Struthio camelus: one gene and its partners. The protein of the gene in region 2 purifies or fractionates together with the protein of the main gene of each other region. This does not show direct contact. Links are inferred from orthologs where the notes say so. Each region holds a gene or a part of one and is shown on either strand. Other genes may lie near its edges.

What was found.
Region 1: the proteins of RBM8A (region 2) and UPF3A purify together in Homo sapiens (co-immunoprecipitation; 4 studies listed by BioGRID and IntAct, with this or other methods). This does not show direct contact. The link is inferred for Struthio camelus from reciprocal best matches to the Homo sapiens genes RBM8A and UPF3A.
Region 3: the proteins of RBM8A (region 2) and UPF2 purify together in Homo sapiens (co-immunoprecipitation; 6 studies listed by BioGRID and IntAct, with this or other methods). This does not show direct contact. The link is inferred for Struthio camelus from reciprocal best matches to the Homo sapiens genes RBM8A and UPF2.
Region 4: the proteins of RBM8A (region 2) and PYM1 purify together in Homo sapiens (co-immunoprecipitation; 11 studies listed by BioGRID and IntAct, counting the BioPlex papers as one, with this or other methods). This does not show direct contact. The link is inferred for Struthio camelus from reciprocal best matches to the Homo sapiens genes RBM8A and PYM1.

What each region holds. Positions count from the first base shown.
Region 1 is NC_090942.1:156,043,437-156,051,374, reverse strand, and holds the start of UPF3A (regulator of nonsense transcripts 3A), read left to right. Parts: upstream 1-4,925; 5' UTR 4,926-4,954; coding exon 4,955-5,203; intron 5,204-7,486; coding exon 7,487-7,593; intron 7,594-7,938. UniProt on the Homo sapiens protein: Involved in nonsense-mediated decay (NMD) of mRNAs containing premature stop codons by associating with the nuclear exon junction complex (EJC) and serving as link between the EJC core and NMD machinery.
Region 2 is NC_090971.1:3,081,941-3,088,971, reverse strand, and holds the start of RBM8A (RNA-binding protein 8A), read left to right. Parts: upstream 1-4,022; 5' UTR 4,023-4,402; coding exon 4,403-4,634; intron 4,635-5,138; coding exon 5,139-5,198; intron 5,199-5,761; coding exon 5,762-5,839; intron 5,840-6,241; coding exon 6,242-6,378; intron 6,379-6,614; coding exon 6,615-6,751; intron 6,752-7,031.
Region 3 is NC_090942.1:7,366,234-7,373,771, reverse strand, and holds the start of UPF2 (regulator of nonsense transcripts 2), read left to right. Parts: upstream 1-4,537; 5' UTR 4,538-4,637; intron 4,638-4,923; exon of another isoform or gene 4,924-5,052; intron 5,053-5,069; exon of another isoform or gene 5,070-5,218; intron 5,219-7,538. UniProt on the Homo sapiens protein: Involved in nonsense-mediated decay (NMD) of mRNAs containing premature stop codons by associating with the nuclear exon junction complex (EJC).
Region 4 is NC_090969.1:707,130-714,466, forward strand, and holds the start of PYM1 (partner of Y14 and mago), read left to right. Parts: upstream 1-4,335; 5' UTR 4,336-4,460; coding exon 4,461-4,491; intron 4,492-5,500; coding exon 5,501-5,594; intron 5,595-6,835; coding exon 6,836-7,337. Other genes in the region: DGKA (diacylglycerol kinase alpha), read right to left, coding at 2,170-2,234. UniProt on the Homo sapiens protein: Key regulator of the exon junction complex (EJC), a multiprotein complex that associates immediately upstream of the exon-exon junction on mRNAs and serves as a positional landmark for the intron exon structure of genes and directs post-transcriptional processes in the cytoplasm such as mRNA export, nonsense-mediated mRNA decay (NMD) or translation.

The DNA of each region.
Region 1 (7,938 bases), on a different chromosome or scaffold from region 2:
TACTTCAGATCTTGAGAACCAGCACGTTTTCTGTGCCCAGAGATTTTTCATCAAAAATGAAAATGGCTAATTCATGTTTTAGTCATTAAAATCAAGTAATAGGTCTAAAATGTAACTTGTACACTTGTATTAAGATTTAAAGATTTATTTTTGATGATACTCTTAAAACAATATTTACATATTCTGTTATCTTGTAATAATTTTCATCCACTTTATGGGAGCAAGCTATAAAAGAAACTAACACAGACTGATGACTAGTGGTGCAACTCATTAAATATTTGCTATACACTTTTCACTTTTTTTTTTTCTTTTGGTGCTTTACATGAATAAGAGATGGAAGATGAATGATGAATCCAAGTACTTATATTGAATTTTTGCTGTCATTCTTTCTCCCTCCAGCAGCGCATTTTTCTTCACTAACAGTTCTCTTAGTGCAGACTTTAAACAGGCAATGTTGAACTTACTTCAAATTTTGTTAATAATTGAATATTGCATCACTGGTTGTTACTGTGATCTTGTGATCTCTTCTGGGTGTGTGTGGTTTTTTTTTTTTTTTTTTTGATAGATATGGCGCTGCATGAACTGGAATATAAGCTGCCTCTTATTGTCCAATTACATCTGTCTTATGACTCACTCAGTTTTCAATAGTCAGATTCTGTATCCTAAGGACTATGCTGTTGCTAGAGACCCTTTCATGGACGAAGCAGTGAGGTGGGAAGGTCTGTGTTCCTTTGTTTATCCTAGCACCCCCATTAGCTGAGATGAGTCACTAGTGAGGACACAAATACTAATTTTCTTTACTTTACTTGCTGGCTGCTGCTGCTCTACTCAGCTAGACTGTTGGCTGTGCCTGGTTACATCTTGGTTCTTCAACTCTTTTCCTGGTGTCTTATGAATCCTCATCTGGGTCAGGGAGACCTCTTTGCATCAATATAGGCTGCATACATCATTTGAGTCCAGGATGGTGGCTGCTTCCCTCATGTCCCTGCGTTATGGAACATGACTATACGTTCTCTATACACTTGCATTTTAAAACTCAAGGCTACTGGATGAGGAAGATTTAGGGAAAGAGTTTGTGTTTTGGCCAAAATTCCACGAACTCTCAGAACTGATACTCGAATGAAATCTATCTGGTCCCATAAGATCCCCTTGTTTTCCTGTGCCAACATAGCACTAGCACTGCCTGGTTCTGTCTCAGTGGTACCGTGAATTGGTCTGTGACGCCCCAGAGGGAGTTTAACATGCTAGAGTAACAGTTCTGTGTTATGGATTGAAGTATTTGAGTCCAGCACAGAATTCGATACTAACTTCATATTTCTTTAGACATTAACAAGTAAGGAGAATGAAAATGGTTTACTTTCTGGTTCAAAAACACTTCATCCGAAATTGCAGGATTCTCTGAAAAAGAAGGGATATGTCCTACACTCCCCAGGAGGCAAAGTGAAAAGATATACCTGCACAGGGTGTGGGGGAAGAGACTCATTCAGGAAGTGTCTGTGTTTTCTGGCCGGTGTCCAGTCTGATTCCTTCAATGTAGCTAGATAAAAAGCTCATGAAGAGCTTTCTTTTGGTATCTGATAGTTTACGTGTAGTTCAGATGGCTTCTCATATGCAAGGTAAACTGGAAGTTTTTCTTGGGAAGATTAGCTAAAACTCTGAAAGTGTGCCTCAACAGCCATTGTATTAAGTCTCATCCTTTACAGGATCTTTCAGTAGTTTGTTGTTATCTTCTGGCTCACGTATACTGAATGCTTGTAACCAAGATCACGTTGTGGATAAAGAGATGGCAAAGGCTTGTTGCTGCATACAGAGCAGCCTGAAGACTATCACCAACCGTTTCTCAGAGAACTGAACTGTTTTTTTTCTCTAGAAGATTCTCTCTTTTTTAACACTAATTTGGGTAAATCTAGTTTTCTAGGTTATCGTGACAAGCTATTTCCATACCCAAGTTGCCTAAAAAGTCTTCTAGCAAATGAGGCCTTTTGTCTTATGTCAGGCATGGGTGCAGGACTCATGTTGTTTACTTGTTCCCATGGTGTTTTTATTACCATTGACAAAATAATTTAAAACACTGGTAAAATTTCATATTTTTTCTTGTACTCTCCAGTCATGATTTGATGATACATTGGCTCTGATGACAACACTGCTTTATAGTATTCCTGCCCTGCCCATAAGAATCTACTTTTCCCTGTGCCACTACCTCAGCTGTGGTAATTCAAGTGTTTGTGAGGTTATGTTATGAATCAAATCAGGGAACTTGATTTGATTTAAAAATCTTTTCTTCTCAGTTCTCAGGTTCAAAGATAGCAAACAACTGTTTTAGCATTTTCAGTGGGGAAGAGTGGTAGGAGTGGGAAGGAATAGGTGAAATACCTTAAATGGGTATTGCTGGAAAGACAACGTATTATTACACTGTGCTGTCGCAGATTTCTGCTGAAGTATTTTGGCTGGCTGTTGCTGGCTTGCATTTGTTGGCATTAAAAGTTACCTAGAAATAGATGTATGCAAAGTGTCCTAGATTGTCAATGATTTTTCCTGGACAACATCAGAGGAATTATTGGTATGACTTGTCCTGCCTCCCAGCCTGTTAGGCAACTACAGTTAGGTTAGAGCTTGCGAGATGACTGATGATGCATGTCTTTTGTGCACACATGAGGGCATCCCCTCATCTATCTTCTGTTCAGTATGTTGATCTGCTCTTGTTTTATCCAACTGTCATTTCCGTACCTGCAGCTCCAGCTATGCTCTAGTGTTCTGCACTTCCCAGCACCTGTCCTGCCCTTGCCTGGACTCTACGTACTAGATAGCGCTTATTGTCTTTCTGGGTTATTCTGTTATTCTGATTTTCAACCCGCCTCTAGTCAAACTGGGTATTTTCCTTGTCCTCATGAGGTCTTTGATTACTATTTCTGGCCTCACTTGCCCTCAGGTTCTTTTGACTCTTGCTTTTGGTCATTGCCTTAGTTAGCTTTGGCAAGTGGGTACAAGGTCCAGGTCGTGGTCAGGTTGAGGAGACTGTCAACATGTCCCCACAAGAGACATCCTCTCTCTGTTTCATAACCTAATCTCTCTCCTGCAAGGATCAGTTTTGTCCCAGTTTGAGGTGGGGGTGGGGGGAGACCTGGCTGTTGCCTGCAAGCTTGTCAGACTAGGTCTTGAAAACCCACAAGAGATTTCTGTGGATGGTCCTAATTGACTCCCATGCTCTTCCCAGCTACTATAGGCTAAAAGATTTGAAGAGGAATAACACATTAGAGTTTGCTTGGCCAATCCCACCTGCTTTTATCTTTAGAGCTGAAAATTGCCTCTTAGGATCAAAGGTGAGGCTAATGGGATGATTGGAATATCCCATCCTAGGGATAGTGTGGTCAGGTTTCTTATTCATGAAGCCTGACAGACCAGTGTTGACAAATCAGACTTCAGCAAACATCAGAAAATGTCCTCCAGGAAAAGCCGTCACCTGATTTCCAATTATGACGATGAACTATAGCCACTGGTAGTAGACACAGAAGGAGGTTAAGATGGAATTATGATTCTGTTTTCAGCAGCTTCAGTACTGAGTTATTCCACATCAAATCAGCTACTATTTGTTGTTGTCATGTTGTGGACATCTATTTGAGGACTGACAATGCAGCATCGGCATCGGAAGATCAGTGTTGACCCTGTGTATTCTGCATAAATTGTAGGCATTTTTGCTTATTCTGTCTGTTTTCTGTTGCTTTAGAGGAGTCTAGTGGTATGCCTATGACCTATGTATGACCCACAGCCATTCTTCAGTTTCTGTGTCTCTGTCACTAAGCCTAGGAGAAGTAGTCTAGGACATCCCAAATCATCCAGGAGTTTCCAGAAACTTTTTAGAACTAGAAATCATAAAATTGCACTATTGCAATCCAGGACTGAGTAATCCTTGATCTGATGGATGGGTCACTACTTCTAGACTAGCTACATGGAAGATCTATTTCACTTTGTGGTCTCAGTTCAGGGACACCTTGCAGGTGAAAGATTAGTCTGAAGATAAATTAATATATATTCTACTTGTTCTTATCCTTATTCTACTCATTATTGGTGACTTCCCCAGTGACTTTGCCATGGGCAGAGATAGGATGGTGGCATTGTCTGAATCAGTATAAACATTTTTATGTTCTTATTTGATGTCTTCTTATTATTTGATAGGATAAATCAAATGCCAAATATCCACCAATGCTTGAGAAAATGTATTGGGAATGATGCTGATGTGACTGTCTGTGGGAGCTAAAGCACTAGGTGAAATCCTGGGAGCTCGTCAGAAGGGCGCTGAAATGTCAACCAGAACGACTCCGGAGCCTGCCGCATGGCCTGAGAGGTGGGTGCTAATGACATGTTGCCTGACTGTAGCCAGCGCTTCCCTAAATTGACAGAAACTCTCCTTGGGCACAGGACTCGTGACCTGACCTAACGGCCTCGTTTCATCCCTAGGACCTGCCTGGATTTCCAGCCCTGTGTCCTGAGCCTCAGCAGGCCCCAGCCCCGAGGTGGATTGCACGTACGCCATCCCGCTGCGCAACGGAGAGGCGAGGCCGGGGCAGACAGAGGCCGGCAGCCAAGTCTCAGCAGCCAGGGCGGCGAGGTTCGCGCCCCGGCCAGGGAAGGGGACAAGTTTCTTTCTCATCTCCTTCCCACAGGCATAAGTGGGACTTGTGTGGGGGCTCCTGAAAGTACCCATGCCAAGGAGGAGGGGGATGACGATGAGGGTGAGGATGCGGACGAGGACGGGGATGGAGAGGATGAGGACGGAGATGGCGCTGCCCGTCCCCGCCCCCCCCCCCCCCCCCCCGCAGCGGTGACCGTTGAGGTGCTCGGGCGGGGTTCTGGGGCAGCCCGCTCCGCCCCCTCAGTGAAGTCTCGCGAGATTCCACCCGGCGAGCGGCCAGTTCTCGCGAGCTTTGCGCCTGGCTGCGGCGGCGGCGGTTGTTCCATGAGGTCCGAGCGGGAGGCTGGGCCGGGACCAGTTCGAGGTGGCGGCGGCGGCGGCGGCGGCGGCTGTGGCCGGGAGAAGTGGCCCATGGAGGTCCCGCTGAGACGAGAGTCGCCGCGCCGCGAGCCGGAGGCTCCGCCAACGCCTCCTCCCCCGCCGGGGCCGCCGCCGCTTCCCCCGCCACCGCCGCCGCCTCTTCACCCGGCGCCGGGTAAACAGCGAGAGGAGAAAAAAACGGCGCTGAGCAAAGTGAGGGGCCGCGCGGGGGCCGCGGGGCGAGCCCGGGGGCTGTGCTGTGCCTGGGGGTGAGCCTAGGGCTGAGCCGGGGGGCTGGGGGCGTGCCTGAGGGTGAGTCTCGGGGCTGAGAGTGTGCCTGGGGGCCTGGGGATATGCCCGGGGGGTGTGCTATGGGGCTGGGGGCGTGCCTTGGGGGCAAACCTGGGGGCTGGGGATGTGACGGGGCGGGTGTGCTATGGGGCTGAGAGCGAGCCTGGGGGCTGGGGATGTGCCGGGAGGGTGTGCTGTGGGGCTGAGCGTGTGCCTGGGGGCCTGGGGATACGCCCGGGGGGTGTGCTATGGGCCTGAGGGTGTGCCTTGGGGGCAAGGCTGGGGATGTGCCGGAGGGGGGTGTGCTATGGGGCTGGGAGCCAGCCTGGGGGCTGGGGATGTGCCGGAGGGGGGTGTGCTATGGGGCTGGGAGCGAGCCTGGGGGCTGGGGATGTGACGGAGGGGGGTGTGCTATGGGGCTGGGAGCGAGCCTGGGGGCTGGGGTTGTGACGGGGGGGGGGTGTGCTATGGGGCTGGGAGCGAGCCTGGGGGCTGGGGATGTGCCGGGGGGGTGTGCTATGGGGCTTGGGGTGAGCCTGGGGGCTGGGGATGTGCCGGGGGGGTGTGCTATGGGGCTTGGGGTGTGCCTGGGGATGTGGCTGGGGGGTTGTGCTGTGGGGCTTGGGGTGAGCCTTGAGGCTAGGAATGTAGCTGGGGAGTTGTGCTCTGGGGCTGGGGGATGTGCTGTGAGGCTGGGGATGTGCCTGGGGGGTTGTGCTGTGGGGCTGGGAGAGAAGTCTGGGGGCTGGGGATATGCCTGGGGGATGTGCTGTGGGGCTGGGGATATGCCTGGGGGATGTGCTGTGGGGCTGGGGATGTGTCGGGGGGTGAATCTGGGGCTGAGGGTATGCCTGGGAGGCCAACCTGGGGCCTGGAGACAAGCTGGGGGGGCATGCCTGGGGGTGTGGCTGGGGGCAAGGCTGGGGCTTGGGAGTGTGCCTAGGAGCTGGGGGGAGGTGAGCCTGGGGGATAGGTGTGCAGGGAGTGGCGTGCCTTGGGATTGATCACTGAGCAGGGGGCATCAGGAGAGGCACAGAAGAGGTACATAGAGGGGCTGAGGAGTAAGTGCGGGAGTAAGGGTTGTTTGGGAAGGGGTCTGGGGACGGGAATAGAGGGGCAAAGGGGGATGGGCATGATTGAGCCAACTGGAACAACCCCTGGGGCAGGTGAGCAGACAGAAGTATTTGCAGGTAAGGTGAGATGGAGAAGTGCAGAGGAAGGCAAGGGCAGGGAACATGGGAAGACTTACTAAGAAGCGTTGGGCGATGTCCAAGGATCAGAGGAAATTTGTAATGAAGAGCATGGCCCAGAAAGGCCCATAGCTTCTATTCTAAACACTGAGGCTAATTCCAAGGAAATACAGCATTTAAACATCGTCTTTGTTTCATCATCAGCAAAATGAGTGTTCACTTTCTTAAGTATTTTGAGGACCTCAGCAAGAGTGCTGCAAATTTGCCTGTCTTTTCATCTTTCGTTCTTTAAAAATTTAGATTGACTAATATAGTGGCAGAGCAGGTCTTAAAAGAACAAGAGCACTTCTCTCTCCATGGTTTTATTTGAGCATCTTTCAGAGAATACTTATATAGAGTACTGTGAGATTTGTTTTATTCCCTTTTTCTAAATGGGGAAAGGAAAGCACTGAAGGTCACCATGACTTAAAGTTAAGTCAAGTTCAGATATTACTGAGAAATAGAAGTACGTTATCTGAATCTTGATGACCATTTCACTCTTTTCTATACTGTCATGAGAGTTTTCATGCAGTCTCAGACACTTTATTCTGGAGTGAAGACTTTGGACGATGTACATAAAATGCTTTTGTAATAAAAGACTTAAAAGTCAGTTTAAACAAAATCATTTTGTAAAGAGAGAATGCAAGTATTTTGTGTGGTCAATATTTATTTTTTTTCCCATTTGTTAATATTTTGTGTTCTCAGCCAAATTACAGTGACTTTTAAGCTCTTCATCAGAATGTTTCACTTATGCTGCAATTTTACGGTGTTAGTCTGTTGTTCTATACGTTTTATGTAGCAGAAAGTGAGATAGGTCAATTATTCCTTCTGCCAGCAAGTATAAGAAAGTAAGTCACTAGGAGGCTAGTGTTCCAATTTAAACTCCCAATTTTAAAGAATAATAGTACGTGATATTTAGTCTCTTCCCACAGTATTTAGATCAAAGATATTTGTCCATTTTGTTTTATATGCGCAGGTAGTTATTCGCCGGCTTCCTCCTTGTCTAACTAAGGAGCAACTAGAGGAACAGCTACATCCTCTACCTGCCCATGATTATTTTGAGTTTTGCACTGCTGATCCCAGGTGAGGATATGCTGTTGGTCAGTACTAAGTAGAAAAGAAAATGTTTGTACGAGTTTTCAGGTACTTAAAACCCAATTAAAGTATTTTGGATATAGTCATGTACCAAGTTGCATATTTTGTCCCTGGAGCCCTTACTTTTTGTTGGTGTTAGTAGTTATTCAAAATGTTTTTGAGAACAGAGATGCATATGTAGAGACAAGGGCATTCCTGCCCTTTCCTTTTACACTGCTGATTTTAAAACAGAAAATTGTTGTTCTGTGAATAGGGCGTAATTTTGTTCAAAATTCTCATGTTTCTTTTAGCCTTTATTGAAATGGAACACATTTCTTCTGAGCCACTTAAATT
Region 2 (7,031 bases):
TTAAGGGATTGGTCTAGCAGTTAATTAGTCTGCACCAGACAAATTCTCCTGCTATGCTCTTTTTCAGTCCTCTTTGGGTTCTTACAGTGTTTCACCCAGTCTAGGAGGATGGAGATGCTAAAGGGCTGTCCCAAGCGCTAGCAGTTGGTGGTGGTATGAAATGGCCGGTTTACCCAGCTAGAAATCAAGCCTTGGAGTTGTTTGGCTTCCCCAGCTAACCCAGGGAGATGAGGGTTTTTGAAAGTCGTGCAAGAAATAAGAGATGGACACGCTGTTCTCTCCAGGGTAACTTCCAAACCGAATGTCAGACTTGGCCTTTTCGAGGAAGATTTTAAGAGCCTTGCCAGAGTTTCAGACTTAGCGAGCAATAACAGGGGGGAGCTGTGCAGCCTCTCTCCCTGAAGAGCCTTGTATATACAAGTCTTTGTTAACCAGAACTGTATTTAATCCTTTGAACCAGAACACAGGCTCTACCCAGCCCCAGCAGCAAAAGCGCAAATGGGGGGGCTTGGCCTCAACTTTGCATTGCTTCTACCAGCCAGAGTAAAGGGGTCTTACCCTTGTGCCAAGAGGGACTGTGCTTAATTTACAGCACGCAGCGCTCTCCGCAGCCTAGCTCCCAAGAAATAGTTGGCAGGGGCAATTCTTAGGATTACTGGTGGATCAGAGAGCTGCTGCTTAGCAGAGGGCTGAGGAGCTCTGCAGGTGTCTTCAGTAGATCACACAGAGCACACCTTAATGTTACCCACTGCGAACTTGGTGTGGGAGGAAGGGAATCACTAGATTGTATAAAATGAAGGTGTGGGCTATAGGTTTGGCACCTCTGGCCTGTAGCGTTTATATAGCGTAGCCTCACACAGCAGAATGGGAGAGAAAGCGAGTGTAAGAGCTGTGCTTCTCTTGGAGCTGGAGGCTCCCTGCTTTGGAGCTTGCTCCGTTCTTTTCAGTAGTGGTGTTGGAACAAAACACTGCTGAGTTGAGAACTTCTATATGCACTATTTTTTTAAATGAATAGTTCCCTGCTCTTTGTATACATATCAGTACTAAATCTGTATGATGTTTAGATTAAAAATACTCTTCCTGACACTTGTGTTCCTGTAGCTCAAATTCACAGTCCGAGAAAGTAGTGATTTGTTCAAGGTAATTCTTGTATCGCTTCCTACTTTTCTAATATATAGCCCAGAAGAGTCAGCAATGTCTCAGTGGGACTATAAATTGAAGACAGACTTCTTTCTTCAACACAGTATTCAGCTTTGACCTTTCTCTGGTCCTTCCCCCCTTATACTCCCCCCGCCCCATGACTATACTTTGGGTAGAGGTGCAAAGCCTTTGGGAATCTGACGGGTAGCTTTTGCTATTGCCATAGATGACCACCCCTCAACCCTCTCCTTTCTCTGAAGCAGCCTCTTACTGTGAACGTAGAGGCACGTGGATATTCAAGCAATAGTCTTGTTTTGAAATGAAGATCAAGAAAAGTGCGTTATCTGTAGGCATTCTAGTTTTGTATTCTTGTCCTAACAAGCCTATTTTGTTTTTATATATTTTTTATATGCAGCCTTTTTACACAACAGTATTAATGTTTAATGCGTTTATAAATGTGATTGTAAATGGTGTGGAGTTTTTTTGTTTGGGTTTTTTTTGTTTGTTTGTTTGTTTTACAGGTTGGTAATATCTGGACCTTGTATTTGGATTTAATCACCCGCTCTAGAAATAGTGTGGAGTCTAACATCTTCCTATTAGCACTTCCACACCTGTGTATAGTGTTACAGTACGTCATGTGAAATGGTGATTTATCTAACAGCCTGCTCTTGCAAATATGGAAACTCTTAAGAAACTTCACTTTTTGAGCAGATGGTGTAAGCAGCATCGGCACCCAACCATACATCTCCAGGCTTTCAAGTTGCTTGGACCTGCATCAGTGTTTTCCTCTGCATTACAGACCGGGGTTTGCCATCTTATCCTAGTTACTTCTCGCCTCTCTAGCAGCATGAGATGGAAAACGTGACCCAATAGAAAAGCCCCCTGGCATGAAGAAGTTGTGAGACATCCAGTTCTTGGCTAATTTGGAATCCTTATGGCCCACTTGGATTTTGCAAGTTGAAGAAGGTCATTTAGAGCTGTAAAGATCAGTGGGCCAGAGCTGGTGCAGTCTTGCCGTAAGAATCCTGGTGCTCGTTGAGGAAACATCGTACAGCCCCTTCTCCCTGACTACAGCTGGGTGCAGCAGGGAGTTTGGATCTAGGATTGCTTTCAGGCACCCTGTTTGAATTAATACTGCCTTCTCCTTTGCAGTACAAGGCCCTGTCAGTTAGAAATTCCTTTACTTAAACGTACGTAGCAGCACCTTAACAATCAAACTCCCCCTGGAGACTTCCTTGGGGAGGAGGAGTTCTTGCCGAGCAGCGTCTGTGCCCTACGTGTTAGGACTCTTGGTGTAGCAGAAGTTGCACGAGCTGCTGTTTGCAGTGCTTACGAGTGTTTTGCATGTAGGGATCTTAATGGTTTTAGCAAAGCTTGTCTCCGTAACTCTCCTCTGTCCTGCAGCGCTGAACTGTACACAAGCTGTTTCAGATGCCTTACTACTGCCAGCAGCCGTTCTTAAACGAATCTAGGAGGATTATGTTGTTTCCACTGTCAAGGCCCAAGTCTGCAAAATGGGACGTCCTGGCAGAAGGGAAGGTACAATGAAAACCTGATACACCAGTACTTTTGTTTTGGCAAAACCGAGGCTGGTTTTTAGTCCCCTGATCTACTTGCAGGGTGATAACGCCCCTGCCCTAGGGACGAGGAAAGCTTTCTGGGCTTTCTTACTTCAGCTACTTGTCCCATCTTTCCTGCGGAAGCCATCGAGCTTGTTTTAAGTAGTTGTGGCTGCAGAGCCTGCCTCGTACTGAACGAAACCAGCTAAGCCTCTGTCATCTGAACGTACCCATACACGAAGCCTGCATAGTTGGTGGGTGTCACTGCCTTCCCCCTTCTTTTGGGGGTTAGAACAACACTAAGCCTAGGCAGGCGTCTGGGCAGTTTTATATTAAATAGCAGCAAGTGTATAAAACTGTTTTCTTTTGTTCCAATTACAACTTTATACTCTCGAAACGTTGTTTTCCCAAATCCCGAGGGAGGGGGCAGGGGGACTGGCCTTCAATCTAACCCGAGGCAGCAGCAGCAGGATTAACATCCTGGCTTTTTCAGTGTCCAAAATCTTGTTGTCTTCCTTCTTCATGCTATAGGGTTAAATCCAAAGCTAAAATGATAAATCACCTTTCACGTGCCGTCCCTGCCTTTTTCCATGTATGTCATAACTTTCAGTACATCATTGCATTTTGTATGTATAATTTTATACAATAAAGCTATAGATTTTTGGGGTAGCTGTGGTGGTTTCTCTCCCGTTTTGAAAGGCAGAAACGGCAAATCCTGCCACTGACTTGTCATTTGCATCTTTCCTAGGCGGCAGTTCGTACACCGGGACAAACAAGCGTTTGCAGTTTCCACCCCAGAAGCGCACGGGCGACGTGCTGTTTCTCGCTAAAGCGGTGTTTGTCCTCGTTTAATTCCAGCTTTTTCTTCTGCTTGTGAAAGTGGTTTATGGTCTGTTACTCTGGGGCGGAAGCCAGGCAGGCCTGGCCTTAGCAGCTGGCGACAGAAGCGGCCTCCGCTGTTGGAAGCTGATTTTGCTCTGCACAAGAGGTGCTTCCCCGGCCAGCCTTGCCTTAGCTTTCCCCGCTGGAGGGAGCTGGTGGCTTGGGACAATTTAAGGCTCTTAAGGCTCTTTTTTTTTTTTTTTTAAACCTCATCCTTTCCACCCATGGGGTCCCCTCCATGTCCCACCAGCTCTGCCCTTCTGCTGCCTTTCCAGGGTTGTAGGAACTGCACAGCAAAGGGCACGTTTGCCCCCAGAGCAGGAGCTCTTCTTTGTCCTCTTTTTCTTTCTTTTCTGCAGTTTGGGCGCTAGTCGGTCTCGGGAGGGCTGAGCTCGGGCCGCAGCCCTTCCCCGGTACCTGCGGGGATAGCCTCTCCTCCTCGCAAAGGTCGGCCAAGCTTCGTCTGCCGGAGCCAGGTCCCCCGGGGGCTCGAAAGCCGCCGGCAGGAGGACGGCCAGAGGCGCGGATGTGCGCGCTGCGTGCTGGTGGAAGCCCCGTTTCCCCTGGGAAACCAGGCCAAAAAAATAACTTTGCTTCACGTTGTACTGAGCAGCGAGGCGGTGGGGAGAAGCAGGCGGCCCCCCGCCTCCCTGAAATGTTACCTGCCCCTGCAAAGAACCGTGAACGGTTTAAGCAGGTGGGTGCGGGGTCAGCGTCGGAGCTCGCCCCCGCCACCCCCGGGCCTTGCCCCGGGGCAAGCGGCCTCCAGCGTGGGCCTGCTGGGGGGGGGGCACGACAACCCCCCCCCCTCCCTTCCCGACATGGCGTCCACGGCCGGGCAAGAAACGCCGACCTCACCAAGATGGCGCCGCGGGCGCTTCCGCCGCGCGTCCTCCCTAACATGGCGGCGCCCGGCAGGGCTGGGTAGTGCTTCCGCCCCGCTTCCCGGCGTGCAGCGCGGCAGTGGCGGCGGGGAGAGCGGCAAGATGGCGGACGTGCTGGACCTACATGAGGCGGGCGGCGAGGACTTCGCCATGGACGAGGATGGCGACGGTGAGGGCAGGGCGGTCCCTACCTGCCTGGTGCCACCGGCCGGTCCGGCCGGCTCCCGGGCCGCTGTTTCCTTCCCTCGGGCCTGCTCAGGGGGCCCTGTAACGGCGGGGCCCTGTCCCCTGTCCGGTCCTGGTTCAGGGCCAGGTTCCCCCGTGGGCTCCCCCCGCCCCGCGGCCAGTCCTAGGCCCCCTCCCTGCGGGCCCTGCTCTCAGTCGGGTCCCCCCGCACCGGCCCCGGTTCGGGTCCCGTTCCCCCATGTCGGTGCCCAGCCCGGACTCGGGGACCAGCCTGTCGCAGGGCCCCAGATCGGGTCCTGTCCCGCCTCACCGATGCCCAGCCCGGACCTGGGGACCAGCGCAGCCCGGGGCCCCGTTTGGGTCCCGTCCCCTGTCTCAGTGCCCAGCCCGGAGCTCAGAACCAGCCTGGCCCCGGGTCCCCCCTCCCCGCCCCGGTTCCGACCCGATCGCGGGTGCCTTTCCTCACTCCCGCCCCTCTCCTTCACAGAAAGCATCCACAAGCTGAAGGAGAAGGCCAAGAAGAGGAAAGGCCGAGGCTTCGGCTCAGGTGAGCGGCGGCGGTACGGCTCTACCCTCCTTCCCGCCCTCCGGCGGGCAGCGCCTGCCCGCGGGACCCTGGCGTTGGCCGCTGCTTTCCAGCGTTCTCGGCCCCTTCCCCTCTCAGGCCTCGGTTTCCCGATTTCAGCTAAACGCTCACCCTGGAATCGCTCGGCCGAGGTCCCTGGCAGGCAGATCCCTCCTGCTGGGTGCACTGGATCAGTGGTTTGTGTGTCGTGACGTTTCAGAGCCCGTTTAGGGCGGTTTGGAGAGTGGGATCAGAGCAGGAGCTTTGTACAGGAATGTAGCGTCTGCTGGGAGCAGGATCGCTTTGCCAAAGCACAACCCAAATCTGGCTGGCCTTGCTGTTCCCTCCCGCAGAAGGGAGAGGACTTCTCAGGGCTGCGTGCGCAGGCCGGTGGCCTTGTCCTGCCCGTACAGAGGAGCTGGCTTCAAACCTGGCTGTTTCAGCGTTCTCGGGGAGTCCTTAAAGGTTGTCTGTGTCCTACTGCACTCCTGAGCGATGGCAGCGGTCACCCACCTCTCTTTCCTCCCCTTCTGTTGCGTGTCCAGAGGAAGGCTCGAGGGCCAGGGTGCGCGAGGATTACGACAGCGTGGAACAAGATGGGGATGAGCCAGGCCCACAGCGCTGTGAGTACCTGCAGGAGGCACCCGTCCCAGCCCTGACTCCGGGCGCTTTAGAGGAGGGAGACGATGTGTTGTTTTCGGGGAGATGGTGGGGAAACGTGGGGCCGTTACTTGGCTGCGTATCAGGATTCAGACCTTGCTGGGGCTGAGCCTTTCCCTGCCTCTCCGGCCTCTGTCTTGGGCTAAGCCAAGAGGTTGCTCTCTGGGACGCCAGCTCCCTTTTCCACCCGTGTGTGGCTCATTCTGTGTTGTGCTTAGCCACAACGCGCCCAGGGATTTCCAGCCACTCCAGGGGCTGGCTCTCGTGGGAGGCCCCTTCCTGAGGTGTCTCACGTTCGCACCGCAGAGGTGGGAGAGCACCCTGCGTTCGGTGTAACGATTGCCGCTTTTCCCGGTGCGCTGCAGCGGTCGAGGGCTGGATTCTGTTTGTCACGGGGGTTCACGAGGAGGCCACTGAAGAGGACATTCACGACAAGTTTGCGGAGTACGGCGAGATAAAAAACATCCACCTGAACCTCGACAGACGGACGGGCTACCTGAAGGTAGGAGGGGATGCGCAGGTTGGGCTGGCCTTGAACCATCTCAGCCGCTTCAGCGGCCGCACATAGGGACGCGAACACAATTTCCTTTTCCCCAGCGCTACTGTCGGGTGCCGCAATGCTGCCTGAACAGCAAGACAAGCTCAGGGAGGGGTTTCTCAAACGTCCAGCCTCTCGCTGGGCTCCCTGCTTCCCCTCTGCCCGGGATCTCACTTACTTTTGCTCCCTCCCACCCTTAGGGATATACTCTTGTTGAGTACGAAACCTATAAAGAGGCTCAGGCAGCCATGGAGGGGCTGAACGGCCAGGAGCTAATGGGGCAGCCCATCAGCGTGGATTGGTGTTTTGTAAGAGGACCCCCAAAAGGAAAGAGAAGGTAAGAGGGTCTGTGCTTTTTGACCGTGTTAAGCCAGAATGAGGTTTTCTCTGGATAGCCGCATGGGAGGAAGGGTTCAGCTGCAGCTCCTTTGCCCTGCTGAGGCAGACAAGGGAGAGCAGGGATGAGGCTGAGCTGCTGGTGGAAATGTCACAATGTTCACGAGCCCTGGCCGGGGCTGGAGACCTGTGGATCCGGGGAAGGTGGGAGGTGAATGCCCCAGAGCGTTTGGTAGCACAAACGTTAGTTCTGGCGGAGCTGGCTGACTTTGCTGTGAAAA
Region 3 (7,538 bases), on a different chromosome or scaffold from region 2:
AGGGAAGGGACCAGCGAAGGCCGCGCCGCGCTCCGTCGCGCCTTCCTTCCCCGTCTCCCCGGCGTTGCCCTGGGGTCTGAAACCCCGGGTGGTGGGAGAGGGCTGGGAAGCTTGAAACTTTTCCGTGCGTCGTTGTGTCGGCCCTGTTACGGGGCCTAACATGCAGGTGTTTCCATGGGTGGATCTTGTGAGGCAGCAGGTTGGGAGGGTGGTCGAGGTCTTGGGGTTAACCGTAGCGCTGCTCTTCTTGAGAGCGCGGAAAGGCGGTGTGAAGTGCAAAATGAGGAATAAAAGACCAGATTAATTGTGTGTTAGGTCTTCGGGTACTGCAGGCGCCTTTTCTCCTTTGTATATGCTCAGGCTGTTTCTCTCATCCTTTCAGAAGTATGTTCTCCTCTCCTGACCTTCCCTGTGAAAAGGCCGCGACAGGGTCAACCAGCTACGTGATCTCTCACCGTTTAATCTCGACCCACCCGAAGCGCCCGTCATACGCTGGGCTGTGCTTAAACTGGGAAGAAGACGTGTTCACCTCGGCGCCTCGGGAAAACGCACCACAAAATCCAGGAGTTAGGTTGGACGTGAAACTCAAACCAGCAGCCTAAGTTCTATTTTACAGCTTCTAGTAATTTCCTTCCCCTTTTTTATTTTTTCATTCATTCTGACTCCTCTGAGCTAAAACTTGTTCCTGTTCTGGGCTGTACTTTAGCGCAGGATGAGAGGGACTGATAGAAAATCCAAGTTGTAACAGAATCTAAAAGCTTCATCTAGACTTTGTATGAATGCAGACCTGGGAGGCAGGGGTGCTGCAGGCGAGAGTTACTTTGTAGGTTGCCTTCACAACAGGGAACTCGAAAAGCCTATTTTTCTTCTTCAAATCAAACAGTGATTATATGGTTTTGAGACAGGTGGAACTGAATTTTGCAACTGAATTACTTAACGGTGCCATAGCTGACCAGGGATTTTATGATATTTACAGTTCTGGGAGATGGGCCGTTTGTATTCCTTGAGGCCTGTATGGGGTTGGGTTTATATGCAGATCTATAAAAGCCAATTTGGGAGGAAAAAGAAGCGAATGACCTTTAATGCTGCAAAGAAGGCAAACGGATACTGCTATAGAAGGTTAGCTGAAATGTGGCCAGCCGAGTAAAGCACAGTAGAAATGTGGCTGTAGGTATTATTTTTTAATGTATACTGAGAACAAAGGAACCTTGAAAATAATGTTGCTCCATCGCATGATACAGCAAAGTTGACGATAAAGAGGCAGAAAAGGTTTGTATCAAATATTCCTGTACTGCACTTGGGAAAAAGACAAATATTGCAGACAGAACACATGATGAAATACTTTTCCACCGTTCTCAAGCAAATATTTGTCGACTAGCTGATACCAATGTTTTTGCTGTAAAGCAGATAGAGAGCTAACTGAGTCTTTCTCTTCTCAATTAACACTGATATGAATAGGTTTGAAACACGAAACACCTTCCGAATAAGAGCACTAATGCTACCTAATGTTTAGAAAGAACTAAATGAGGTGGTTTAGTAATAGATTGTCAATCCCAGGGAAGTAATTGAATGTTTGTATATACAGGTTTACTTATTGCTTTAATCAACCCTAAGCATGAATTTATGGAATAAATATCTCATCAAATCAACCTTTTTGTTTCTGAGAGGCAAAGCTCGGTAGATAAAGATTTAAAGTAATGAGTAGTACTTTGCAGACTTTTGCCAGCGTAATCATCTTGCCTGGGATACAACTACACATGGCCAAACTCCTGCTGTGATTACATCTAGGTCGATAGGAGAGTGGCTTCATTGGCTTTGGTTCATGTCTGAGCGTGAGAAAGTGGTACTTATGCCAGCAGAAACACCGCTTCTGTATTCATGTGCCTCGGCTCCACGAGGGGACTCTCCTGGCCTGGCTGTGCTGGCAGAGACCAGGGAGGCTGTCCGAGGGACTGGTGGGACTGCTGTATGGGACTGATTCAATACTACCTGATGCCCTGGCTAAAGAAACTAGGAATGGTTCAAAAACAAGGCTGTCTGCATTAAGTAGTATAAAACTGTCTACCCAGCAGATCTAAACTTGTAATATTTTAAACAGAAAATCATTATCCACTGGGGGTATGTCTAAAGGGGTTCGAAAGGAGTTGTGGTCGCTGGCACTCAAGTAGTCATGTCAACCTGAAAGGCCTTCCCACAAAGTAAGTCCTGACAAAGTCTGTCAGCTGGAGGTAAGTGATGAAGAGAGGCTGTCTTGGATCTGAATCTCATACTGACCTCATACATAAGCAAATGAGATTTATTTTAACGGAATCAGACATAAGCTTGTATACCTGGAAAAAAAGAATGTGCACTAAAATGTAGCTCCTTCTCAGGAAGCAGTAACTGTATATAATCTCTAAAAGTCACGGGAATAAAACAGATGGGTCTGAAAAAGTTATGTGAATATCAGCTCATTTGGCAAAAGGATCGTTTTCTGGATTTGACTACAAGGCAATATTGAGTACACATACGGATTCTAGTTTGACGTTAATGTGATTGCTTGCTAAATATTGTGTCCATGTTTTGTACCAGTAATTCAGGAAACATTGAAAAAATTGCAAGAAGAGCTTCAAGAATTAAACAATTGAAAAAGGTGCTTTATATCTGAGACTCAAGCAATGACCTCTACTTAGTTTTCTTTTTGATTAGCAGGAAGACTGGATCAGCTTGTAAGTAGGCACCTATGAAACAGGTACTTCATAAGGAAAAGCTTTTTGTCCTATCAGACAAAAATTGAGCCCGGTTTACCTGCACCGTCTTTACAAGAGACAGTTCCAGCATAGCTGTGGTTGGTGGGGAATGTGGGATAGTCTCTGGAAAGAATAAAGAAGGAGCTATTGTTTGCTTTCAAAATTTTAGTGACAGTGCATTTTATTCATGTTAGACAAGGCAGCAATGTCATTCTTCACAAGAAAATAAGCCAATATTGCTTTGGTGTCACGCCGTTGAAACTGAAATTTAAACCTAAGATAACACTGAGCCTGCCTTCTCGAACTTGAACAAAACAGCTCACTCAAAGGCATTCGTTGACAAGTTATATGCCTGGTGTATTTGGAAAATGAAGCACCAGCAATAACATGTGGATATCTTTCCCATTTAATTTCTCTTTTTTGTTGCTGTTTTTTGTTGTTGTTGTCTTTCTGTTTAGCACAGATTTCTTCTCCGTTCTCATAAGTCAGTTCAATCAACCTGGTAAATCAACATGATTTGGAAAGTACATAAAATCTTTGAGAAGCAAAGACACTTGATTGATCTACATAAATAACAAGCATGACTTCATCCTTTCAAATATTCATTAATAAACTTTTCCAGAAATACATTTTTAGAAATGTCTGCAAAAATGAGTAATGAAGGAAGAAGGAGGAACAACAGGAAAGAGAGCTCTTTTCTGGAAGGAAAAAAAAAAACTATCTGGTGCTGTAACGATTGGCAGAGTATACCTAAAACTCTGCATCATTACACATTAAACGTAGCCTTAAATTTGGGCTGACTCTTGCTTTTGAATAAAAGGTGGCTTTAACAGCTGAATAACTTCATTATGCACATCCAGGCCTGGGACTGATGTCACGGTCAGATATTTTTGTGTGCTCCTCCTAAGTCTAAAGGGGTGTAAACACTGCCGTAAGGAAGCAGAGGCTCATATCAGAAACCTCCGTGCTTGAAATAAGAATCAGGATTGTAACTGTGAACTATACACCAGATTCATGTTCTTACATTCTGGATTGTGCAGAGTGGAATTTTCTAGCTTGGCCTCATTTGGGGTGGGATAATAGCCAATAGCATGGCCGGACTCGCAGATCACGAGCCTTTCAAGTAAATTTGGAGTTTCTGTGCAACTAAATTAACAATTGTAAACGCTTTCATACATATTATCCAGACAGTAATATTGATACAGCAGGAAGACACAGCGGAGATACCAGAATTTTTCAGTCCGTTCTGATAACTCATAATAGGATAGTAGAATACAGAAATGAGACAGTTATTTTTGTTGACTCATTTTAATATCAGGTCAGATCAGTCATACGTTTCAACGCTTTGATGTATACTTAATTTTTTGCTTATGGTTCCCCTCCCTGCAGTGCATCATCCAGGAGGCATCAGAACAAAACTGTGAACAAAAGCATTGTTATATGTTAGCCCTTAACATATGCCAGTCTGAAGTTTGTGTTTGACTGATTAACGTAGAGCTGTTCTGAGAGCGTCTTGGAGCTTCGAGTACTCGCAAAGACACTATTCTACGACTGTTAATCATCCAGTAGAAAGTGATATGTGTTATGCCGTAAAATACAGTAGGAAGGAATACGTATTACGTCGTAAAACGCAACAGAGAACATCCGTAACATCGTCTGACCGTGTGATTTGACTGAGTAGGATGCCACCGTTATTGCTGTTTTTCCACCGCGGTATCGGCGGAAGAGCTCTGGTAAAAGCGCCGCGCTCGGGTGCCCTAGGCAGGCAGGATCATTTCCCCAGGACTCCGCCATCTCCTTACGAGAGATACCAACGAAACGACCAAGGCTCAGGGAGAAACCCGCATTAACAGGCACGCGAGGATCGTTTTAAAACAGCGTTAAAAACAGCGTTATCCTAAGGGCAAGGTACCGTTTTGACCCCGAGGCCGATTTTTCGCTGAGAGCTCATGCTTATAATTTTAAATGCGTATGTGTTAATAGTTTAAAAAAAAGGGGGGGGGTGACGGCAGCTGTCAGAGCTTAACGATGAGGGAAGCCCCCGACGCGACGGCGGCCGTGACGCAACGCACCGCCTCCCGCACTGCCGAAAGCGACGTCACGGCGGTGACGTCACGGCGGCGCCGCTGCGGAAGGGCCGTCGGCCAGCCGGCCCCGCCCCGCCCTCGGCCACTTCCGCCTCCGCCGCCCCGGTAACGCGAGCGGGGCTGCCCGCCGCCCGCCTGCAGGACCCCGCCCGGGGCTGCCCGCCGCGCTGCCTGACGCCGGCCGCTGGGAACGGCCGCTGGCCTAGCGGGCCGGGGCGGGGGCGGCGGCGGCGCGGGTAGGCGGCGCGGCGCTTCCTTGTGGGCGGGTGGGCGGCGCGGCGGGGCGAGGCGAGAAGAGCGCGGGGTCCTCGTGCGCCAGGGGAGGGGGCGGCGGCGGCGGAGGAGGAGGAGGAGCGGCGGGCGCTCACCGGCAGGCCGCGCCGATGTTTGCCCCGGGCGGAGGTAGCGCAGGGCGCCCAGCGGCCCTGGGCGAGAGGGTCCGCGGCGCGGGGAGGGGGGCGGGGGCCGTGAGGCGGCGCGGGGTAGCGGCTTCCTCGGCGGGGGGGGCCGTGAGGCGGCCCGAGGCCGGTTTCCGCAGGCTGCCGCGGGAGCGGGCAGGGCAGGGCAGGGCCGCGGAGGTGGCTCGGTGGTGGAGGAGCTGGTGCGCGCCGGCGGCGCCCGGGGGGCGGCGCGGGCCGCTGAGAGCGGCTCGTCTTTGGGCCTCCGTTCCCCGGTGAGAGGGGTCCGGCCGCGGATCTGACAGCAAAATATCGGCTCCGAGCCGCCTGGAATCGAAAGTAAAACTGCCCAGCGGGGTGGGCAGGCCTGCTGCCCCGCCAGCGGGCAGGGGGGCTTCTTCGCTGCCACTTCCTCTCCTGTCCTGCCTCTCATCTTTCAGAAACTTACGGCTGGGTTTATTTTCTTCTCGTTGGCCGTGATCTTTTTCTTATCTTCCTTGTCTTTAGAAGAAACCGGAATTGCTTTTCAATTCTGGAAACTTTTAACACGCTGAAAAACCTCCAAGTGTAAACAGACAAATCTCGTCCCCTTTAGAAAGTGCATCACCCGACACTTGAAAGTGGGACCCCTTGCATGCGTTGTTTGTCTCTCTAACTTGTTTTCTAATAGAGTAGCTGCATAAAGGAATACTTACGTGGTTAAATTAACTTCCAATAGCAGTACAAAAATAATGGGAGAAACTTTAGTAAAGCAGGCACTCCTCGTATCTGATGTTTGTACAATGGTATTTCTCCTCCCATGCGTGTTTTGATAAGGATTGCAATTCCGATTCATGCAGTTGCAGTCTCTCTGTGATAAACTTCTTGTAGATGTGAGAGAATTAAGCAGTTCAAGGCAAGGTGGCAGTGTTTATGCTTTGTGGTTACATTAGTGATGCTGATCTTTAATACTTTGTACAAACCTTTGGAAGCCTTGAGAATAAGCCCTTACATTGATGTTTTCTGTTAAGTGTTGCCTAATGCCATCAATTTTTCGTAGAGTGAGATCGGTGTGAAAAGCGGAATAGAAATTCCAAAACAATAAATAGCTCTTAATTAACCTTGAGTTCAGGCAGGAAAAATAAACATAGTTTTCACTTAAAAAAAAAAAAAAAAAGCATCTATAGGTGATTGAACTAAGATGATAGAGGTTCAGAACTTCTAAATGTCACTACAGATATCAATGGCAAGTGGTCCAAGAGCCCATTGAACTCATGTCTTTTGTCTTCTCTGGTCTAATTTTGAGCTGTGAAGCACCAGTTCCTCCTATCTGTTGGCTTCTGACGTTCATTTCTCCTCCTTTCCTTTTCACCAGTATGCTCACATAAGCATTAGGTACTACATAGAAGTTCCTTTTTTTTTTTTCCAATAATTCCTTAACATTCCCTTAATTTGGACCCAACTGTGTATCTTCAGCCTATCTTCTTTCATAGGTTTCCTGTGAAAATGGGACTTAGGTGAGCCTGCTGCCTGTCCATTTCTTTTTTTCCTCTGTATCTTATAACTCTTGAACCTTTTGGCCAGTTTCAGCTGGATTAGACAGCTGAAAGTTTCAAAGGTATAACCTTTCTACAGATCTTGTGATAATCAATGGCTGAGAAGAACAAAAAAGACTTAAAATAACATGCACACTGAGGGAAAGGCTGCAGCATACGTTCAATGAACAATTCTGTTCTGTCTTTGCTGTTAGTTGGCACTTGCGCACTGACCCGTGAATCAGTGTGTGTATAGCTTGGAGACAGCCACCACGCTGGCTGCTTCCTGCAGTCAGTAGTTGGTAGATATAAAGAGAGTTGGAAGAACAGTGGGAAGGTTTGGGGAGACAAGAGCTATACACAGCGGGCGGCGCAGAGTGTTGCAACGCATATTTGTTCTGTGATATATGACAGAAATCCATTAGAAAATAGGTTTCTTTGGCATGAATGTTCGGGGGAGAGGGAAAGATGATATTGCTTTGGGATCGAAATCACACTGCACCAGATTATGCTCCATTCCTTTTCTTTATTGCATCTTCTCTCTCTCGCTTGTATAAAAGCAAGACTCAAACATCCCTTTAAAACAGAATTGTGAGTTTATGTAAGTGATACGAGGAGGAGTACTGCTTTTAGTAAGTGACCATGATGCTAAAAAATGCACATGTAGCTGTTTGTTTTTTTCCCCAAATTATAATTAAGTTGCTCCATGACCAACAGGTGAGGAACAAAGATAAAAGCCAGAGCAGTGGAATTGTAACATGTTTTTCCAGCACTTCTTTAATCAAACAGCCATTTTTCCAGCGTTTTCCT
Region 4 (7,337 bases), on a different chromosome or scaffold from region 2:
TCACCGCTGCCAGCCGGGGAGGAGGGTGGGACTTGGCGCCCGGCCGCGCTCGGGATGCTCGGCGCGCGCCGGCAGGGCGCAGGGGGGGCGAGAGCGGCGCCCCGCCGCCCCGGCCTCGGTTCCCCCCGCGGAGGCGCAGCCCCGGCGGCCCCGCGGGCCCTTCCCCGCCCTCCGGCGCTATTATTTGTTCATGGCGACGGCGGGCTCCAGGCGCCGGGCGCTCCACCCAGCCGCGACGCTCGGGGACGGCGAGGCGGCGGGCCGGGGCACGTGCCGGCGGCCGCCCCCAGCCCCGCGCGGGGTCCGCGCCGCGAAGGCAGCGACGCCGGGCGCGCGGGACAGGCCGACACGCGCGGGTGCCCGGAGGCGCGCGGAAGCAGCTCGCGCCCCTCCAGCTCCCGCGCGGCCCGCCGGCGTCCCCTCGCCCCCCCCCGAGGCGTAGCTGCCCCACGGACGCCGGCCGGCCCCACACTTGCGCGGCCCGGCCCCGGGGCTGAGCCGCCCGGCGCAGGCCGAGCTTTGACCCCGGCGGGGTGCGGCGCGCCAGCCGGCGAGCGGCCTGCGGACGTGGCCCGGGACCGCTGGCCCGCGAGGGGCGGCGCAGCCACCCCGGGGTGCCCCGGTGGTGGCCGACCCTGGGCGCGCGGGACGTCCCGTGCCCGGCGGCGGCCGCCTGCGGCTCCCTGCTCGGCCGCGCGCCGGCCGGGGACCCGACGCCTCCGTCCTGGCCCTCCCCTTCCCAGCAGGGAAACTGAGGCACCGGGGCGGGGGGGGGGGAAGGAGACACGCGACCACGAGCCCCAGGCGGGGAGGGAGCGCAGGTGGCCGGTGCGCCGCGGGGTGGCCCCGGGGACAGGGCTGCCGCTGCCGGGGCGCATTGCCCGGGCGCCCGGCACCTCGGGACCCCCCCAACGGGGCCCGCCGCCCGCAAACGCTTCCCTTATTTAGTAAATATTTGCAGCCAGAGGCCGAAGGGCTCCATCCCGGGAGGGTTTAACCCTTCGGGGCACAGACCGGCCGAGCCGGGACCCCCCCGTTGCGCCGCTCCATCTTCCCCGGGGCTGCGAGCAGCACTGGGGTCCCCCTCCCCGATGTCATCGTCCCTCGGCTGCCGGGGGGGGGGCAGGACACCTGGGTCCCCCCCACCGGGGAGGGGTGAGAAAGGCCGGGGCGGCTCCCGGCGGCGGGGACGCGGGGGCAGAGGCCCAGGGACGTCCCAGGACACCTGGGTTCCCTCGGGCGGCCCTGACTCACCGCCTCCGCCGGGCGGCTCCGGGGTCCCGCCTGCGGCTCGCGGCACGGCCCGGCGCGTCCCCAGCCCCCCCCCCCCCCCGGGGACGGGCCGGCTCAGCCCACCCAGCGGGCCGGGTCCAGCCGCCACCGGCCGGGCATCGACGCCCACGCGCCGCGGTCCCGTTAACGTCAGCGCCCGGCTCCGCCGCCCGCTCCGGCTCCACCTCGGCGCAGCGGTTTGCAGCTGTTTCCCCGGGGGAGCATCTCGCTTCCTCTCCTTCGGCGAAAGCCCGCGAGCGCCGGGGGCTGCCCGCTGGGGCGACGGGCGCCGTCCCCGGCCCTGCCGCCGGGCCCGCAGCGAGGATGCCGGGATGGAGGATGCTCTGCCCGCGGGGTCTCGGCTCCGGGAAGAGCCGGTGGGAGACGACGAGCGGCCGGGGCGGTCCCGGAGCCCCGAGCAGGCAGGGTGCCGCGGCCGGGCGGGCGGCGGGCGCGGAGCAGCGCTCCTCTGCCTTCCTCTCGCTGGCAGAGGCCCCGCCGAACCCTTTGTTCCTTTGAGTCATCGCACACGGGCTTGTTGTTTCCTCCTCTTCGGGCCGCTCCAGCGCACCGAGGTCCCGCGGTCGCCCCGGGACGGGACGCGACGGCGCCGAGCGGGGACGGCGGAGCCGGCAGAGCATCCGCTCGCCCCGGCGGGGCGAGACGGGGGGCGGCCGGACGTGCAGCGCCGAGCGCCGCGGCCCCCGGGGGCACCGGCCGCCCGGCCCCGGCCGCCCCGTCGTGGCGCCGCCAGCGCCGCTTCCTTCCCCTTCCTGGAGGAGGGGAGGGGGAGCGACCGAGGAAGCCGGGGCGCGCCGGCCCGGGTGGGCACGGCCCCGGCGGGCTCTCCGCGGCGCCAACCTGCGCGCATCCCGGACCCCCGCTCCCGCCGCCTACCTGCCTCGGCTCGGCTCGGCGCGGCGTCCGCGCGCTCCCGGCGGCCCGGCCCGGCCCTCTGACATCACGGCCCGGCAGGCGGGGGCGGCACCGGGCACACGTGCGGCCCGGGGTACCGGGGCGGGGGGGCTAGCGTGCTTCCTCACCCGCTTGCACACTTAGGCGCTTGCACGCTCGCCTGCACAAGCCCGCGCGCGCTCACCTGCGGCCGCGCTCCTGCCCTGCCAGCCGGCGCGCGCTGCGGCCGCCCCGGCACGCTCGCAGCCGCTCTGGCACGCTCGTGCCTTGCTTTGCACACTGATGCCTGCCCTTGCACGCTTGTCCTGCCTGGCACGCTCACGCCTTGCCTTGCACGCTCGCAGTCACTCTGGCACGCTCATGCCCTGCCTCGCAGGCTCACAACTTGCCTTGCACGCTCACTTCAGCTCTGGCATGCTCGTGCCCTACCTGGCACACTCATGCCTTGCCTGGCACACTCGCAGCTGCTCTTGCACACTCGTGCCCTTCCTCACAGGCTCACGCCTTGCCTTGCACCCTTGCAGTTGCTCTGGCACACTCATGCCCTGCCTGACGTGCTCATGCCTTGCCTTGCACACTCACAGCTGCTCTGGCACGCTCATGCCCTGCCTCGCAGGCTCACGCCTTGCCTTGCACACTTGCAGCCACTCTGGCACACTCACACCTCGCCTGGCACACTCATGCATTGCATGCTCGCAGCCACTCCTGCACTCTCATGCCCTGCCTCGCAGGCTCACGCCTTGCCTTGCACACTCACACTTGCTTTGGGATGCTTGTGCCCTGCCTCATGCGCTCATGCCTTGCCTTGCACACTCACAGCCACTTTGGCATGCTCATGCCCCGCCCGGCACGCTCACACCTTGCCTGGCACACTCACAGTCACTCTGGCACACTCACGCCTTGCCTTGCACGCTCACAGCCACTCTGGTACGCTCACACCTTGCCTTGCACACTCACAGCCGCTCTGGCATGCTCTGGCCCAGCCTGGCACGCTCACATCTTGCCTGGCATGCTCACGTCTTGCCTTGCACGCTCACAGCCACTCTGGTACGCTCACACCTTGCCTTGCACGCTCACAGCCACTCTGGCACACTCACATCTTGCCTGGCACACTCACATCTTGCCTGGCACACTCACAGCCATTCTGGTACGCTCACACCTTGCCTTGCACGCTCACAGCCGCTCTGGCACGCTCAGGCCCTGCCTGGCACGCTCACACCTTGCCTTGCACACTCATGTCTTGCCTTGCATGCTCACAGCCGCTCTGGTACGCTCACACCTTACCTGGCATGCTCACAACCGCTCTGGCACGCTCTGGCCCAGCCTGGCACGCTCACACCTTGCCTTGCACACTCATGTCTTGCCTTGCACGCTCACAGCCATTCTGGTACGCTCACACCTTACCTGGCACGCTCAGGCCCTGCCTGGCACGCTCACACCTTGCCTTGCACACTCATGTCTTGCCTTGCACGCTCACAGCCACTCTGGCACGCTCACACCTTGCCTGGCACGCTCACAGCCGCTCTGGCACGCTCACACCTTGCCTGGCACGCTCACGCCTTGCCTGGCACGCTCACCCCTTGCCTGGCACACTCACAGCCACTCTGGCACGCTCACCCCTTGCCTGGCACGCTCACAGCCGCTCTGGTACGCTCAGGCCCTGCCTGGCACGCTCACACCTTGCCTTGCACGCTCACGCCTTGCCTGGCACGCTCACCCCTTGCCTTGCACGCTCACAGCCACTCTGGCACGCTCACCCCTTGCCTGGCACACTGGCAGCCGCTCTGGCACGCTCAGACCTGCCCCCCCGCCCACCCCCGGCCTTGCCCGCTCACGCCCGGGGCGAGGGCTGAGGCCGGGCCCGACGGGCGGCCGCGGGGGGGGGGGGGGGGGGCTGGGGCCCCGTCGTCTCCTGCCACCCCCCCACCCCGGCGCCGCTGTTGCGGGCGGGGGCGGCGGATGCGGGCGGGTCCGGCCCGTCCCCCCCCCTTTCCCCGGCACCGGGCGCCGCACGGAAGCACCGGGCCGGGCCCCGCGTCGCCATGGCGACTGCGCCCCTGCGCCCCCCCCCCGCCCCGGGCGCAGTGCATGGTGGGAGCCCCGGTGCATGCTGGGAACCCCCCCGCCCAGCGAGTCCGGCCCAACTGGGCGCGGCCCCTTTAAAAACAAAATGGCCGCCCGCTCCGGCGCCCCTGGGCTTCGGCCCCTCCCTCCGCGCCGTCGCCACTTCCGGGGGCGGGGCCAGGCGGGCGGAAGTGGGTCGCGCTCGGAAGATGGCGACTCCCTATGTGACTGACGAGACCGGTGAGTGCGGAGCCGCCGCCGCCCCCTGCCCCGGCCCCGCCGCGGCGGAGGGAGCCGGTCCCGCCCTCCCCCCCCCCCGCCGGCGCTGTGGGGCTGAGCCCCGCCCCCTCCCCTCCCCGCTCCCTATGGGGCAGCGCCCCCCGGCGCTGTGGGGCAGGCCCTGCCCCCCTCCCCACCGGCTCCTCCAGGGTCCGCGGGGCCCGGTCTGTCCCCGTCTCTGTGGGGCTGGGCCTCGCTCCCCGCGTCTCTGTGGGGCTGGGCTCCCCCCCTGTTCCCTATGGGGCAGGCTCCCCCCCTTGCCCCTTCTCCCTATGGGGCTGGGCTCCCCCCTCTCCCTATGGGGCTGGGCTCCCCCCTCCCCCCTCTCCCTATGGGGCTGGGCTCCCCCCTCCCCCCTCTCCCTATGGGGCGGGCTCCCCCCTTCCTCACTCCCTATGGGGCGGGCTCCCCCCCTCGCCCCCACTCCCTATGGGGCTGGGCTCCCCCCTCCCCCCTCTCCCTATGGGGCAGGCTCCCCCCTCTCCCCACTCTCTATGGGGCTGGCTCCCCCACACCTTGGTCCCTGTGGGGCAGACCCCACTGCCGGGTGTCTATGGGACCCAGTCTGCCCCCAGGCCCCCAGCGTCTCTAGGGCTGGGCCTATCTTCTCCCCATCACCCTAGTCTCTATGGGGCCCTGTCAGTATTCCCCCCAACCCTGCTCTCTGTGGGGCAGGCCCCTTTCAAGCCGGACACTAAGCTGGACTCTGTAGAGCTTGGCCCATCTTCTCCCCACCACCCCGATATCTATGGGGTGCCGTCTGCGTCCCCTCCCCTCAGCCCCTGTGGGGCAGGTCCCCCCCCCCCCCCCCAGTATCCAAGGGCCTGGGCCCCTTTCCCCTCCCTGCCCCCTGGCTCTGTGTGGGGCAGGAGGGGCTGTGGGGCCGGCTGTGCCGTGACCACCTCTGGGCTGTGGGGGGGGGGGGGGAGTACGGCGGGGGCCGCTCGCCGACGGCGCCTTCACCTCGCAGGGAAGTACATCGCCTCCACGCAGCGCCCCGACGGCACCTGGCGGAAGCAGCGGCGGGTGAAGGAGGGATACGTGCCGCAGGAGGAGGTGCCGGTGTAAGTGGGGCCGGGGCGGGCAGGGGGCGTCCCTGGGGGCAGCGCCCCGTCTCCAGGCCGCGTTCCCTCCTGCGCCGCCGACGGCAGCGGTCGTCTCCGGGCTCGGGAGGGAGCCGGGGTCTCCGCGGGGGCCCGGCCGGGTGTCTGAGCGCTGTTAGAAGGAGGAGGAGCTGCTGGCCGGGTTTGAAACGCAGCAACGACCTTGCTTTTGGCCGCCCGGGGCAGGTATTTTTGGTGGTGGTCAGTCCGGGACCGCCGGTGTCGAGGAAGGATAGACGCGGAGAGGCGCTTCGTGCTCCGTTACCACAGCAACGCTCGCCGGCCGCCGCTGGAAGCGGCGCTGTCCGTCAGACGTCCGTTGGTCTTTCCCCCCTCCGCCGGTCGCTCTTGCTGTTCGGGTCGCGCCCGGCCGGGCAGTTCCTTGCGTCACCATCGGGTGTCCGGCGGCGGGGACGCCCTGGCGTCCTGCAGGGCTCCGCGGCTGACGTCCCAGGCCGTCCAGCGCTTAACGGCCCCCAGCCCTTTCCCTGCGCCCAGCAGAGCCTCCCAGTTTGCTCCCTGCATCTGCTGCTCGTTTCCCTGCTCTGCTGATGGGCCCAGAAATGAGGCCGGGCCCCCCCGGGTCTCCCGCGCCGGCAGGGTTGGCTCCCAGATGGGTCTTTGCTCCTCGCGGACGAGGCGCTGACAGCTCTGGGCACGCGGCAGCCCGAGGCCAGGCGTCTCCTGCCCCCCGGGACCTCGTCTCCGGCGATTCCTGAGGCCACGCGCGCGTGCCGGGTTACGTCTCGAGGTCTCAGTCTCTTTCCAGGTGCCCGACCAATCCTGACCCCCTCACCCTTATCCCATAAGCGGTAAGCTGACGGTACGTATCAGCTTCCACGTCGGTCGTTGTCTGGGGCGGCTGCGCGGGGCTGGACGTGAGCACGGCCCTGAGCAGAGAGGCGTTGGCAGGAGAGAGGCGCTCGGGGGCGGTGACGGCCTCTCTGAAAGGGTCCGCTCGGCCGAGGCTCGCTGGGCAGCGAAGGGGCAGAGCCCCGAGATCCCCCGGGGCGAGTTGTAGATCGGGGTCGCTCTGTGCCCGAGGTTTGGCCAGAGGTGCTGAGCACGTGGGAGTTTGACCTCGGGGCCCTCAGCGCCGCGCCAGACCTGGCCCGCCGCCCGCAGCGCTGCCCGGGGCTCGGCGGGGGGACGCCGCAGGGGTGTGGGAGAGACGCGTCTTCATGGGCTCTCGTTCTGTGCAGGTACGAGAATAAGTATGTGAAGTTTTTCAAAAGCAAACCTGACCTGCCGCCCGGGCTGAGCCTGGAGGCCAATGCTCAGCCCAGCAAGCAGCCTGGCAAGGCGGAGAGCGGAGAGACGGGACTGTCCAAGGCAGCTAAAAGGAACTTGAAACGCAAGGAGAAGAGGAAGCAGCAGCAGGAGAAAGGGGAGAGGGAGACAGATGAACTGATCCAGTCGCTGGAGAAGACCTCCCTGTCGGGAGGCAGCGGCGGGGACAAGGGCCCCCCGGGGGACAGTCAGGCGGCCGCGCCGCAGCCGGCCTGCGGCGCCAAGGGCCCCGCCGACGGGGAAGCCTCCGCCTCGGAGAAAACCAAGAAGATCAAGAACCTGAAGAAGAAGCTGCGGCAGGTGGAGGAGCTGCAGCAGCGGCTCGACTCCGGGGAGATCAAGCAGCCGACGAAAGAGCAGCTGGAGAAGCTGGGGCGGAGGAAAGCCTTGGAGGAGGAACTGCAGGACCTGGAG